Oryctolagus cuniculus: one gene and its partners. The protein of the gene in region 2 interacts with the protein of the main gene of each other region in a pairwise test. Links are inferred from orthologs where the notes say so. Each region holds a gene or a part of one and is shown on either strand. Other genes may lie near its edges.

Region 1 (3,517 bases), on a different chromosome or scaffold from region 2:
TGTTGTAGACATTTGGGGAGTGAACCAGAGGATGGAAGTCCTTTCTCTCCGTCTCTCCCTCTCTCTGTCTATAACTTTACCTCTCAAATAAATAAATCCATTTATATTTACTTGAAAAGCAGACAGACCAAGGGAGAGGCAGACTAAAACCCATTGGTTCACTCCCAAACACCTGCAACAGCTGGAGTTGGGCCAGGCCAAAGCTGAGAGCTAGAAACTCAATCCACAGGGCTGGCACTGGCGTAGTGGGTAAAGCCACCGCCTGCAGTGCCAGCATCCCACATGGGTGCTGGTTCAAGTCCCGGCTGCTCCATTACCAATCCAGCTCTCCGCTATGGCCTGGGAAAACAGTAAAAGATGGCCCAAGTCTTTGGGCCCCTGCACCCATGTGGGAGACCCGGAAGAAGCTCCTGGCTCCTGGCTTCGGATTGGTGCAGCTCTGGTTGTTGCAGCCAATTGTGGAGTGAACTAGTGGATCTCTCTCTCCGCCTCTTAAATAAATAAATAGGAAGATAGGAAGATAGGAAGATAGGAAGGAAGGAAGGAAGGAAGGAAGGAAGGAAGGAAGGAAGGAAGGAAGGAAGGAAGGAAGGAAGGAAGGAAGGAAGGAAGGAAGGGAGTCAATCCAGTTCTTCCATGTGGATGGTAGGGACTCAACTACTTGAGCCATCACCTGCTGCCTCCCAGGGTGCACATCAGCAGGAAGCTGAAATCGGAAGCAAATCTGGGACTGGGACCTATCACACTCCAATACGGCATGTGGATATCCTAAGCAGTGTTCTAACCACCAGGGCACACCTGCCTTTAAATACCTCTTTTAATTTGATTTTCCATGCATTTTAAAAACATTTATTTTATTTATTTGAAAGGTAGAGTTACAGAGAAGGGGGGGAGTCTTCCATCTGCTGATTGACTCCCCAAATGGCCACAATGGCCAGGATGGGCCAGAGTGAAGCCAGGAGCCAGGAGCTCCATCTGGGTCTCCAATGTGGGTACAGGGGCCTAAGCACTTGTACCATCCTCTGCTACTTTCCCAGGCACATTAGCAGGGAACTGGATCAGAAGAGGAGCAGTGGGGACTCCAACTGGTGCCCGTATGGGGTGCTGGCACTGCAGGTAGAGGCTTAACCTGCTATGCCACAGTGCGTGTACCTCCATGATTTTTTTTTTAAGATGTATTTATTTATTTGAAAGGCAGACTTATAGAAAGACAGAGAAAGGTAGAGAAGGAGATATCTTCCATCTTCTGGTTCATCCCCCAAATGGCTACCATGGCCAGGGCCCAGCCAGACAGAAGCCAGAACTCCATGGTCTCCCATGTGGGTGCAGGGGCCCAAGCACTTGGACCATCTTCTGCTGCTTTCTCAGATACATCAGCAGGAAGAGGAGTGGCTGGGACTCGAACTGGTGTTCATATGGGATGCTAGTATTGAAGGCTGTGGTTAACCCACTGTACCCCAATGCCGACCTCTCTGTGAATGATCTGAAGGATGCTTGTGCTCGCCAGGCCCTGCCCTGGATACAGAAAACATTCACGTAATTCTCCCAAGTGCAGGTCTTTTTGCCCCCGGCCAAGGCTGAGGTTCCAGCAGCAGATGAATATTCCCAAGCACTGGATTCGCCCAAGGCCACACTCCAAGCTGCAGCGCCTGGACATGAACCTGGCTGCCGGCTCTGAAGCTGCGCTCTTACTAGGGCTGAACAGCCCCAGTAACATGCAGGCCACACTGCCCATGTGACCCAGCACCAGGCCTTACTCCTTCTTCAGCTCTTGCCTGGCAGCCAGTAAGAGGGAAGGAGTGGAGGGCGGCACTGTGGCCCAGTGGGTTAGTCCCGGCCTGCGGCACTGGCATCCCACATGGGTGCCAGTTGGAGTCCCAGCTGCTCCTCTTCTGATGCAGCTCCCTGCTCATGTGCCTGGGAAAGCACCGGAGGATGGCCCAAGTGCTTGGGTCCCTGCTCCCACATGGGAGACCTAGAGGAGGATCCTGGCTCCTGCCTACCGACTGGCTCAGCTCCGGCCATTGCAGCTATTTGGAGAGTGAACCAGTGGATGGGAGACCTCTCTCTCTGTGTCTCTACCTCTCTGTAACTCTTTCAAGTAAATAAAATAAATAAATAAATCTTTAAAAACAAGAAAGGGCGGGGCTGAGCACAGGCCCACAGCGCAGCGCTCTAGGAAGGGCTGCCCGCCTGGCGCCAGCAGGGTCGGCAGAGGTGCCGCACTCACATTGCTCATGAGCCCCTTGAAGACCACCAGCTCCGCTTTCAGCTGCTCCACTTTCATGGCCAGCTCCTCTTGGCACGCGTCAGCCTCCTGGGCTTCCTATGAGCGGGGAAGACCACGACATCAGTGGCCACGTGGGCAGAAGCTTACGATGACAAGGAGGCACAAGGAGCCGGCACTGGGGCCAAAGGCCCGTGGGGGGACCCCGAGGGGAGCACAGGCAACAGGCCAGCCGCCCTCACCTCCTGGAGCTCGGTCACTCGGTCTTGCAGCTGCATGCGCACCGTGTACTCTTCTTCCCACCTGACACACAAGGCAAGGAGGGGAGAGAACTCAGGCACTGAGGCCTCCCTGGCCTGCAGTTCCCGGGTCAGGCTCAGCCCCCAGGCGGGGGCCAGCAGCAGCTGTTGGCTGCTTACCAGCTGCCTGCCCGGAACTCCGGGCCACGCCCCAGGACTATATTTAAGAGCAGCTGCTGCTGCTCTAGGCCCTGGCACCCCAGCTCCCCCAGCTGTCTGGCCAGCCTCGACACCCACCACCTGCCCACACCAGACTGCCAGGCCCGCCCGGCCCAGTCTCCCACCTTCAGTGGCACAGATCCGGTCTCCCGCCTCCTGCCCGCACCAGAACAGAGCTTGTCTAGCCCGCTGCCCTGTCTCCCGTGGGACCATTTAACCCTGCAAAGCATCTGCAGGACACACACCATATCAACAGGGCTGTCAGGAGCCTGGGAGGGAGGAGATGCTCAGAGTCCTGTTCCCCCCCCCCCAGTTCCCCCCAAGCCCCCTCTACAGGAGCCGCAGAGAGGAGGCAGGGCCGGCCCAGGGGCCTCAACTCCCCAGCAGCCTGAAAGCAGTAGACAGCAGGAGGCGGACGGAGAGAAATGCCCAAACCCAGGGGGAAAGGGAGATGAGAGCGGCTGCAGTCCCCACGACTCAGAACGCAGACACTAAGGGGGCCACACGTGGGCTCAAGGCACTGGCAGCCACGGGGCAGGGCCCAGGGCCCAGTGGGAAGGGGAGGCGGGAACGACACCACTGTCACCCCAGGACCTATTCACCTGTCACGCTCAGACCCCCCTCGCTGCCTCATCAGAACGGGGGCTGCACCGAGACAGAAAGCTGGTTAGCAAGCAGCGAGGAGGACAGCCAAGAAATCAAAACCAAGAGTGCGCTCCCAGAGCCGGGATTCCGTCTCTTCATGCCCCTCCCTCCGTGGCCCTCTCCAGGCCGGCCCTCCTCGTGCCCTCCTGTGCAGCTCACCCGCAGCCGCACTGCAGTGTTCCTAATA
Region 2 (4,109 bases):
CCTCTCTGGAGCTTTCAACCTGCCCATTCTCCAGCACTTAGGTGTCCTAATCCCTGGGCTCCAGAATAGAAAGGGAAGGTGTGTGTGTGTGTGTGTGTACCCCTGGGTGTGGCCAAGTTCCCCAGGCAGGGCCAAAAGTTGCCACAGGGTCTTACAGATAGCCCTGTATCTCACCTCAAGTCTGGCCATGAACTCTGAGCTCTAATTAAACATTAAACCAGAGGACACCTCTCTTTGGTGATGGGAGGGGTTGGGGCACTGCCTTTCTTCCTCTCCCAAACTCTTCATTCTGGGCACTTCTCCCTTACCCTGAGCTGAGCAGATACAAAAGGAAGCCACCAATCCCACCTCCTAACGTGGACATAGAAGGGAAGAGACACCCCAGTTCGAGCCCCTCTGCCCCCACCCCACCTGCCGTCAACCTGGGATCCAGGTGTGCAAACCTACTCCCTCTTCCGGAAGCTCAGCCTTGCCTGGTCAGGATCAGTGGGGGAGAAGACAGGCAGGTGGCTAAATATAACAAGGAGGCACACCACCCCCGCCCGGTGTCCCAGGCCTGGACAGCTGCACCGGGAGGCCGAGGAGACAGACCCGTGCGGCGGTGGGGAACAAGAAACTACAGACTCCTCTCCAATCAATGTTCCCCCAGCTCCCTTCATAGGATCCCTGGGGGAGGAGGGGGGGTTGGCTTTGGAAATTCAGCAGAATAGTTTAGAACTAATCCACTGTGGCTCCCCTAGCTTGCCTCCTATCTGCCTTGCTAAGTTGCTCGTATCACTAGTGGAAAAAGACAGGTGATCTCTTTCAACAGACGTCAAGGTTGAACCAGCCCCCCCCCCAACACACACACACACACACACACACACACACACACATAACTTCGGGAAGGCCATGGGTCTCTCACACATGGGGCTGGGGGCTAGCAGAGGGCAGAAGGGCCACAGAAAACATCCGGTGGTTCCGGGAAGAGTTATGAGCCTGGAGCAGAAAAATGCAAAGGGAGCGAAGGAGGTGAGGTCAGAGGCACCAGCGCCCGGGGGATCTCCAAGCACCTGTAAGAGCTCTTTGGCCGGGGCCTTCACAGGAAAGGGGAGAGAGGAGAAGAAACCAAATTCTGGGGTGGGGGAGGCTGGAAGAAGAGGGCCCTAACCTCCAGACTTCCGAAGGCCTTGTTAGAAGGGAAGGTGGAGTTGTGTAGGGTGGGGTGGGGTGGGGCAGGGATGGGTGAAGTGGGAGGGGCCTGAACCTTCCAACGGCCGGATTTCAAAAATGTCACTGTATTCCAGCAGTTTAATAAGGCGCACATCAAAACGTCAGCGGCGGAAGGATGGGCCAGGGCAAAGACTGCTCTGGCCTGGCTGGGAAAATGAAAGTGGCTCACCCAGAGCGGGGGAGGGAAGGACGGAGCCCCCAGCCCTCAAAGACATCAGGTGGAGGGCCAAGGGGTGGGGGGGTGAGGAGGGTTGCCTCCAGCTCTGGCCATAACACAACTTCCTGAGCCAGGAGCCTCTGCCCTGTCTCCCTCCCTCCCTTGCATTCCTGGGCCAAGCAGGCCAAGGGCTGTGGGAGCTGCGGGGGAGCCAGTCTCCTGGAGCTGTTTTGGTGGGCCCGGTCTGGGAGGTGCAGGGAGTGAGGGAGAAAGAACTCAGGCAAAGGGAGGGCCTGGGGAGCCACCACCACGCCCTGGGAGTGGTAAGGGGGGGCTCTGATGACCTCTCTCGCACCCCTGGATGGATGCCAGCTTGGGAGCCCTGTCCTATAGGGGCTCCTGCGTTCAGAGCCAGCCTGGGCAAAGCTGGCACAGAGCCAAGCCTGCCAAGAAAGTTCTAATAGGACCCCTTCACCCACTCCAACGTGTCCTGGGTGCCTGGGGCCAAAGGGCTTAGATCCGGCAGGGCCAGTCGGCTTTGCTCAAGCCCTTGTGCTAGCCTCCAAATGGCTGGCAACTCCCACCCCGCCAGAACGCGGGCCTGCCACTGGCCCCTACTACTCCTTAGAGCCGCCGCCCTCTCTCGAAGACCCTCCCCTCTCTGCCCCGTCCTGACAGTTCCCCTTGGCACCGCCAGTCGCCCCCGCCGGGGGCAGTTCCGGGGAGGGAGGAGACTCCATGGCGAAGTTACCGGCCTCCCGGGCCCTCCCGCTCCCACTCCTTTCCCGGAGCCGGCCAGGGGTCCCTGCACGCGCCACCTGCGCTCACTCACCGCGCTTTGAGCTCCTTAAACTCCTCGCGCACTTTGCTCAGCTCCAGCTGCAGGCGGGCGCGCTCCTTGGCCACAGAGTCGAGGGTCTTGCGGGCATCCCCGAGCTCCGCCTCGTAGGCGGCCTTGATGCCGGACACCTCGCGGCTGACCACCTCTTCCGACTCGGTGATGCGAAGGCGCAGCCCCGCGTTCTCCGTCTCCAGCGAGCGCACACGGTCGATGTAGACGGCCAAGCGGTCATTGAGCTCCTGCAGGTCCTCCTTCTCCTGCAGCCGGGTGATGCGGGTGGGCGACAGCGGGGTGGAGCTGGCCTGCGCCCCGCTGCGGGTGGCGCGCCGCTGGGACGGGGTCTCCATGGCCGGCAGGGTGGCAAGGCTGCCCGCAGGGCAGGGGTCCCGGGAAGGGCGCGGAGCTCGGAGCGGAGGACGGAGGCTTCTCAGGGGCGGAGCGCGCCGGCCGGCTGGTCGCGGCTCGCTCCTGGCAGGCGCGCAGATCGGGGCCGGGCGCTGTCAGACCTCGGGAGCCGGGTTGGCTGGCGTGGCTGCGGCGCTCCCGCGAACACTGAGTCACCGGCGCCGGGGCCGAGGCTCTAATAGGTCCTCCTCTATGGGGAGGCGGGGCCGCTGCTCTTAAAGGGGCCGTCGCATACCCAAGGGGTCGGGGCTTAGGAGTGGGGAGGAGGGACCCGGGCAGCTGCGGAGTCGGGCCCCACCCTGCCCAGCGCACGCCGGGTGCTTGGGGCTTTGCTGACGCTTCCCCCGTCTTGGTTCCTGCCTGCCCAGCGCTCTCAGCTCCAAGCTTGCCCCCACGGCCTCAGGCCTTCTGGGACAGAGGGCAGAGCCCAGGGGAGAGAGTGGGTGGGCAAAGGGGAGTGGAGGAGGGGTCGAGCAGGCAGGACTGGGGAGCCAGGAGAGTGGGGGAGGGCTGAGGTTGGTGCCCTCCTTCCTGAGGGTGACTCACCCTCCTTCCACCGCTGGCTCCCCCTCCCCTCCCCATAGTAACAGTGAGTCACCCCCAACCCCCCTGCGCACGTGGGCAGCCCATTCAAAGCTATATCTCAGGATGCCAGGGGATGGGGTGCGGTGGGGTGGAAGGATTGCTTGTGTCCGGGAGGGGGGAGGCTGCAAAGTTCTGGAACCTGTGTTCCCCCATACCCTCAGTTTGGGGGCAGGGATCCCCTTTTTCGCTTGTTTTTGTCTTCCAAATACAAGCATTGGATCTTAGACCCAAGCAACAAGCTGCAGCCCCAAGAGAAAGCCAAGAATAGGACCCAGGCACTGCCCCGCCTGTCTCCTGGCCCCCTCCTTTGGAACCAAGCAATTGGAAAATGAGGCTGCCTGGGTTCCTCCCCACCCAGCCAGCTCCAGAACTGTACTTATTTTACTGGATAATCTAAAACAGATAGCAGAGCTGTGCGTGCGTGCGCTCATCGCGTTGCCAAGACACCAGGTCCTAGATTTTTGTGGTTCCCCGAGAGGCCTGAAAGGGGGAGCAGGGCCAGGGGCTGGCTCTCCATCTTGGCTTCCCATCTTAGTCGCAGGCAGAAAGGGGACAGTGGAGGGCAGGAAGAGTAAAGACACCCCCCACCCCAAGCCTGGCTGGCCCCAAAGGCTGGCACTGGGTTGCCACTTCCCTCCGGCCAGGGCTGTCTGGGGAGACCGTGTCACCCAGGTCCCCAGTCTTCCCTAGCACAGGCCCTCGGGCGCCATCCTCAGGCCTCACCCAAAGCCCCCTGAGATCAGCCTTCCACCCCGCTCCTCCAGGGCCAGCCCAGCCCCAGCACCTCCTCCTCAGTATGGAGCTTCCTGCCCCCGTGCCGCCTACAGCTTATTCTGATGAGGAACCTGGGAAATTGAATTACGTTGCTAATGCTACAACTCCAGGACATCAGGCCACTGCCATAAACAA
Region 3 (3,517 bases), about 35 Mb from region 2:
GGTTCCAGTCCCAGCTGCTCCTCTTCCGATCCAGCTCCCTGCTAACACGACTGGAAAGCAGTGGAAGACGACTCAAGTGTTTGCATCCATGCACACATATGGGAGACCAGGAAGAAGCTCTGGGCTCCTGGTTTTGGTCTGGACCCACCCTGGCTATTGCGGCCTTTTGGGAAATGAACCAGCAGATGGTTCTCTCTTCTCCTTCCCTCTCACCCTGTAACTCTGGCTTTCAAACAAAATAAATAAATCTTATGAAAAAAAAAAAAAAGCACCACAAAGATATAAAAATACTTTTTGCTCATATGACAACACCCCAAGTAAGAAAATGACATCAATCCTAACTCTAAGAGACATATTCTTTTTTAATCACTAGTTTTTAGCTTAGGAAACTTTATTAAGAAGCTTCTAAGTTAGGCCACCAAAGTTACAACTGTATTGCTAAAAAAAAAAAAAGGACCTATAAAATCTAACCACACAAAACATCCCAAACCTATCAGATGTTTACCTTGAATATCTCTCTACATGGCTGCAAAGATCAAATGACATAATGCATGTGAAAATGCTGAAGTGCTATTTTGTGTGATGATACTCGTGATGACTAGCAAAAGTCAGATCACCTGATTTATGAGGGCTATAAAACAGGAATTTTTGAAAAGGCTTATTTTATACATACATATCATACAGAGAAACAAATGTTTGTGACAACACTGACCCAAATAATTTTCAAATATGCTACTTAGGTCTTTCAGGAAAAAAACTGTAGTAGCTGATCTGTAAATGTCTTTAAAATTAGCTATTTTAGTAATTTGTGGCTGGTGCTGTGGCATAACAAGTCAAACTGCCGCCTGCAATGACAGCATTTCATGTGGGTGCCGGTTCAAGTTCAACTCCCTACTAACGGCCTGGGAAAGCAGCAGATAACGGCCCAAGTCCTTTGGCCTCTGTACCCATGTGGGAGACCCGGATAAAACTCCTGGCTTCGGCCTGGTCTAGCCCTGACGGCTGTGGCCATTTAGGGAGTGAACCACAGGATGGAAGATTTCTCTGTCGCGCCCTCTCTCTCTCTAGCTTTGCTTTTCAGATAAAAAAATAAATCTACAAAAAAATTAGCTATTTTAGTAATTTAAATAAATTTACTTTCTTAGTTGTACTCTGTTATAAACTTCATATTTAAACTCTTTTTCTTTGATTAATCCAAGTGTTTTCTTTATATCTTAACAATTTTAGTGACTTTGGCTAAAAGAAACAAAGCCAAAGAATTGGAGCCATTCACAAGTTCATTGGTTAGAAATGGAAAAGCCATGATTTTCTTTCTCATGCAAGGACTTTTCATTATGAAGATAAGGTTAATTTAGGTATTTCTGGCTTGGTAAATGACATCACTACAGCAGTGTATCTTGTTTTTCTTTATAACCTTCAAAAAGAGTCTCCAAATGGTTATTTTAAAAAGTCTGCTAATAACAAAAAGCAGGTATTGTAAAAAAGTGGAATTTTCTATCCTACACAGACTGCAATGCTGCTAGAACTGACAGCTTGTCACATTTAGACCCATCATTACGCACTGTCTCACACCACTGTTCACAAAGGGTCTTCAGAAAGTTCACTGGAAAATGAAAATTACAAAAAATCTCTGCATGGATTTCACACCAAAATAAACTTCTCTGTTAATTTCATTTTCCATGAAGTTTCTGAAGTACCTTCCTACATTCTATACCCAGTCCTATGTTACCTATCCAAGGAAATGGAAATCCCTAAACTGGTAATCACAGTCACCCTTCATCTGTAAAATCACAAGTGACCTAAATGCATATCAAAGCACTCAATGTTTCTGTATGTGAGGAAATCAAGAAAAACAGCAAATGAGCTACTTACTTTGCATCCCAACCCTCATTCTTAAGGTTTGTTCGCCCCATTCCTGAGGGTTTTTTTGATATCCCGAGCCTAGAGCAAATGCATATATCAAAATATCATTTCATATACTTTGAAAGTTAACATATTATATTCTTGTGTTATATATCTATCAGGAAGTCTAAATAAAGTAGGAGAGGAAAACAATGAAAGCAATAGTTTGAGAAGTAAAAGATAATTTCAAGGGAGTGTATCAGTAAGGATTGAATCACTTTTTATAACAAAACAGGTAGCAAAACAAATGCATCGCCACCCAACAGAAAAAACTGTGTGTAAGTCCTGTGCAGGGGTCTATGAGAATGACTTGGAGGAAAAGTTCACCACCACCTCTTGCCCAGAGCAATTACCACATGCAGTACCGATGTGTGTCAGAGAAGAAAAGCAAAGAGGGTAAGATGACTTAAAATTCCAACAGGATCTTTTGTTGGCAGCGTAACGTGGGGTTGGAACTGACCGCTTGAAGAGAGGGGCAGCCACTAACCACTTACTCAGCACTGCAGGCTGCTTGTCACGGGCTCTGACATCTCCACCTGAGGCAGGAGACAGGGGTAAGGTCAGAAACACTCGGAATAGAAACAAAAAATAGGCTATACAGACACTGCTCACTACTGCAGATACCAAACACATACAAAAAGTCAAACCCTTCTCTCACCAATCCCAAACATAAACACTAAATGTATGTATTCCCCTTCCTAAACTTTAAAATGACCAGCAAGTGGACAATAACAAGGACTCAGTTTTAGGATCATTACCATCAAAATAATGACAATGTGTTATATGTTTACCAGGTGTCAAATGTAAATTTACTTAGTTCCTATGCTTTATGTGTGGGAGATACTATCATTATCTTTTTTACAAACTCGTAATTTTATCAAGGTCATGTATCTGAAAGTAGTTGAGATACATGTACAGGCAGTCCATACTAAATATCATGCCATATAGAACAGTATGTAATATATATGTAAATTTGTGGACATTACAAAGTAGCTATGCAGAAATGTTATTTCAAGTTCTTTAATGGTATTTAAGGATAATGCTAAAATGGTACAATGGAATAATTAGAAAATAACATTTAAAAATTACAAAAAAGTAGATGTTCAAATTATCTTTGAAGAAGTAAATTATTTTTACCCACTCTTGATTAAGTATCAACGGAAATTTATTTTTTCTGAATTCAAATGAAATACATGCTATCTATAAAAAGGTACCATTCTAGGAATGCATAACATAAAATTCATGAATGTTTGTTAAGTACCTACTATGTTCAAAACACTAAGTGTTAGGGATACCATGATATTAAAATATGTATTTTTGGGGGGGCTGGCGCTGTGGTGCAGCGGGTTGAGGCCCTGGCCTGAAGCACCAGCATCCCATGTGGGTGCCAATTCTAGTCCCGCTGTTCTACTTCTGATCTGGCTCTCTGCTGTGGCCTGGGAAAGCAGTAGAGGATGGCCCAAGTCCTCGGGTCCCTGCACCTATGTGGGAGATGCAGAAGTTCCTGGCTCCTGGCTTCGGATTGGTGCAGCTCTGGCCATTGTGGCCATCTGGGGAGTGAACCAGTGGATGGAAGACCTCTCTCTCTTTGCCTCTCCTCTCTCTGTGTAACTCT

Evidence for each region. The genes of interacting proteins can lie anywhere in the genome.
Region 1: the proteins of LMNA (region 2) and IFFO1 interact in binary tests that used the Homo sapiens proteins (3 or more experiments, as listed by UniProt). The link is inferred for Oryctolagus cuniculus from reciprocal best matches to the Homo sapiens genes LMNA and IFFO1.
Region 3: the proteins of LMNA (region 2) and TOR1AIP1 interact in a two-hybrid assay, tested with the Homo sapiens proteins (2 studies listed by BioGRID). The link is inferred for Oryctolagus cuniculus from reciprocal best matches to the Homo sapiens genes LMNA and TOR1AIP1.

What each region holds. Positions count from the first base shown.
Region 1 is NC_091440.1:102,949,548-102,953,064, reverse strand, and holds part of IFFO1 (non-homologous end joining factor IFFO1), read right to left. Parts: intron 2,531-3,517; coding exon 2,470-2,530; intron 2,327-2,469; coding exon 2,231-2,326; intron 1-2,230. UniProt on the Homo sapiens protein: Nuclear matrix protein involved in the immobilization of broken DNA ends and the suppression of chromosome translocation during DNA double-strand breaks (DSBs).
Region 2 is NC_091438.1:42,585,916-42,590,024, forward strand, and holds the start of LMNA (lamin), read right to left. Parts: upstream 2,807-4,109; 5' UTR 2,558-2,806; coding exon 2,202-2,557; intron 223-2,201; exon of another isoform or gene 1-222.
Region 3 is NC_091438.1:8,058,330-8,061,846, reverse strand, and holds part of TOR1AIP1 (torsin-1A-interacting protein 1), read right to left. Parts: intron 2,439-3,517; coding exon 2,397-2,438; intron 1,942-2,396; coding exon 1,873-1,941; intron 1-1,872. UniProt on the Homo sapiens protein: Required for nuclear membrane integrity. Induces TOR1A and TOR1B ATPase activity and is required for their location on the nuclear membrane. Binds to A- and B-type lamins. Possible role in membrane attachment and assembly of the nuclear lamina.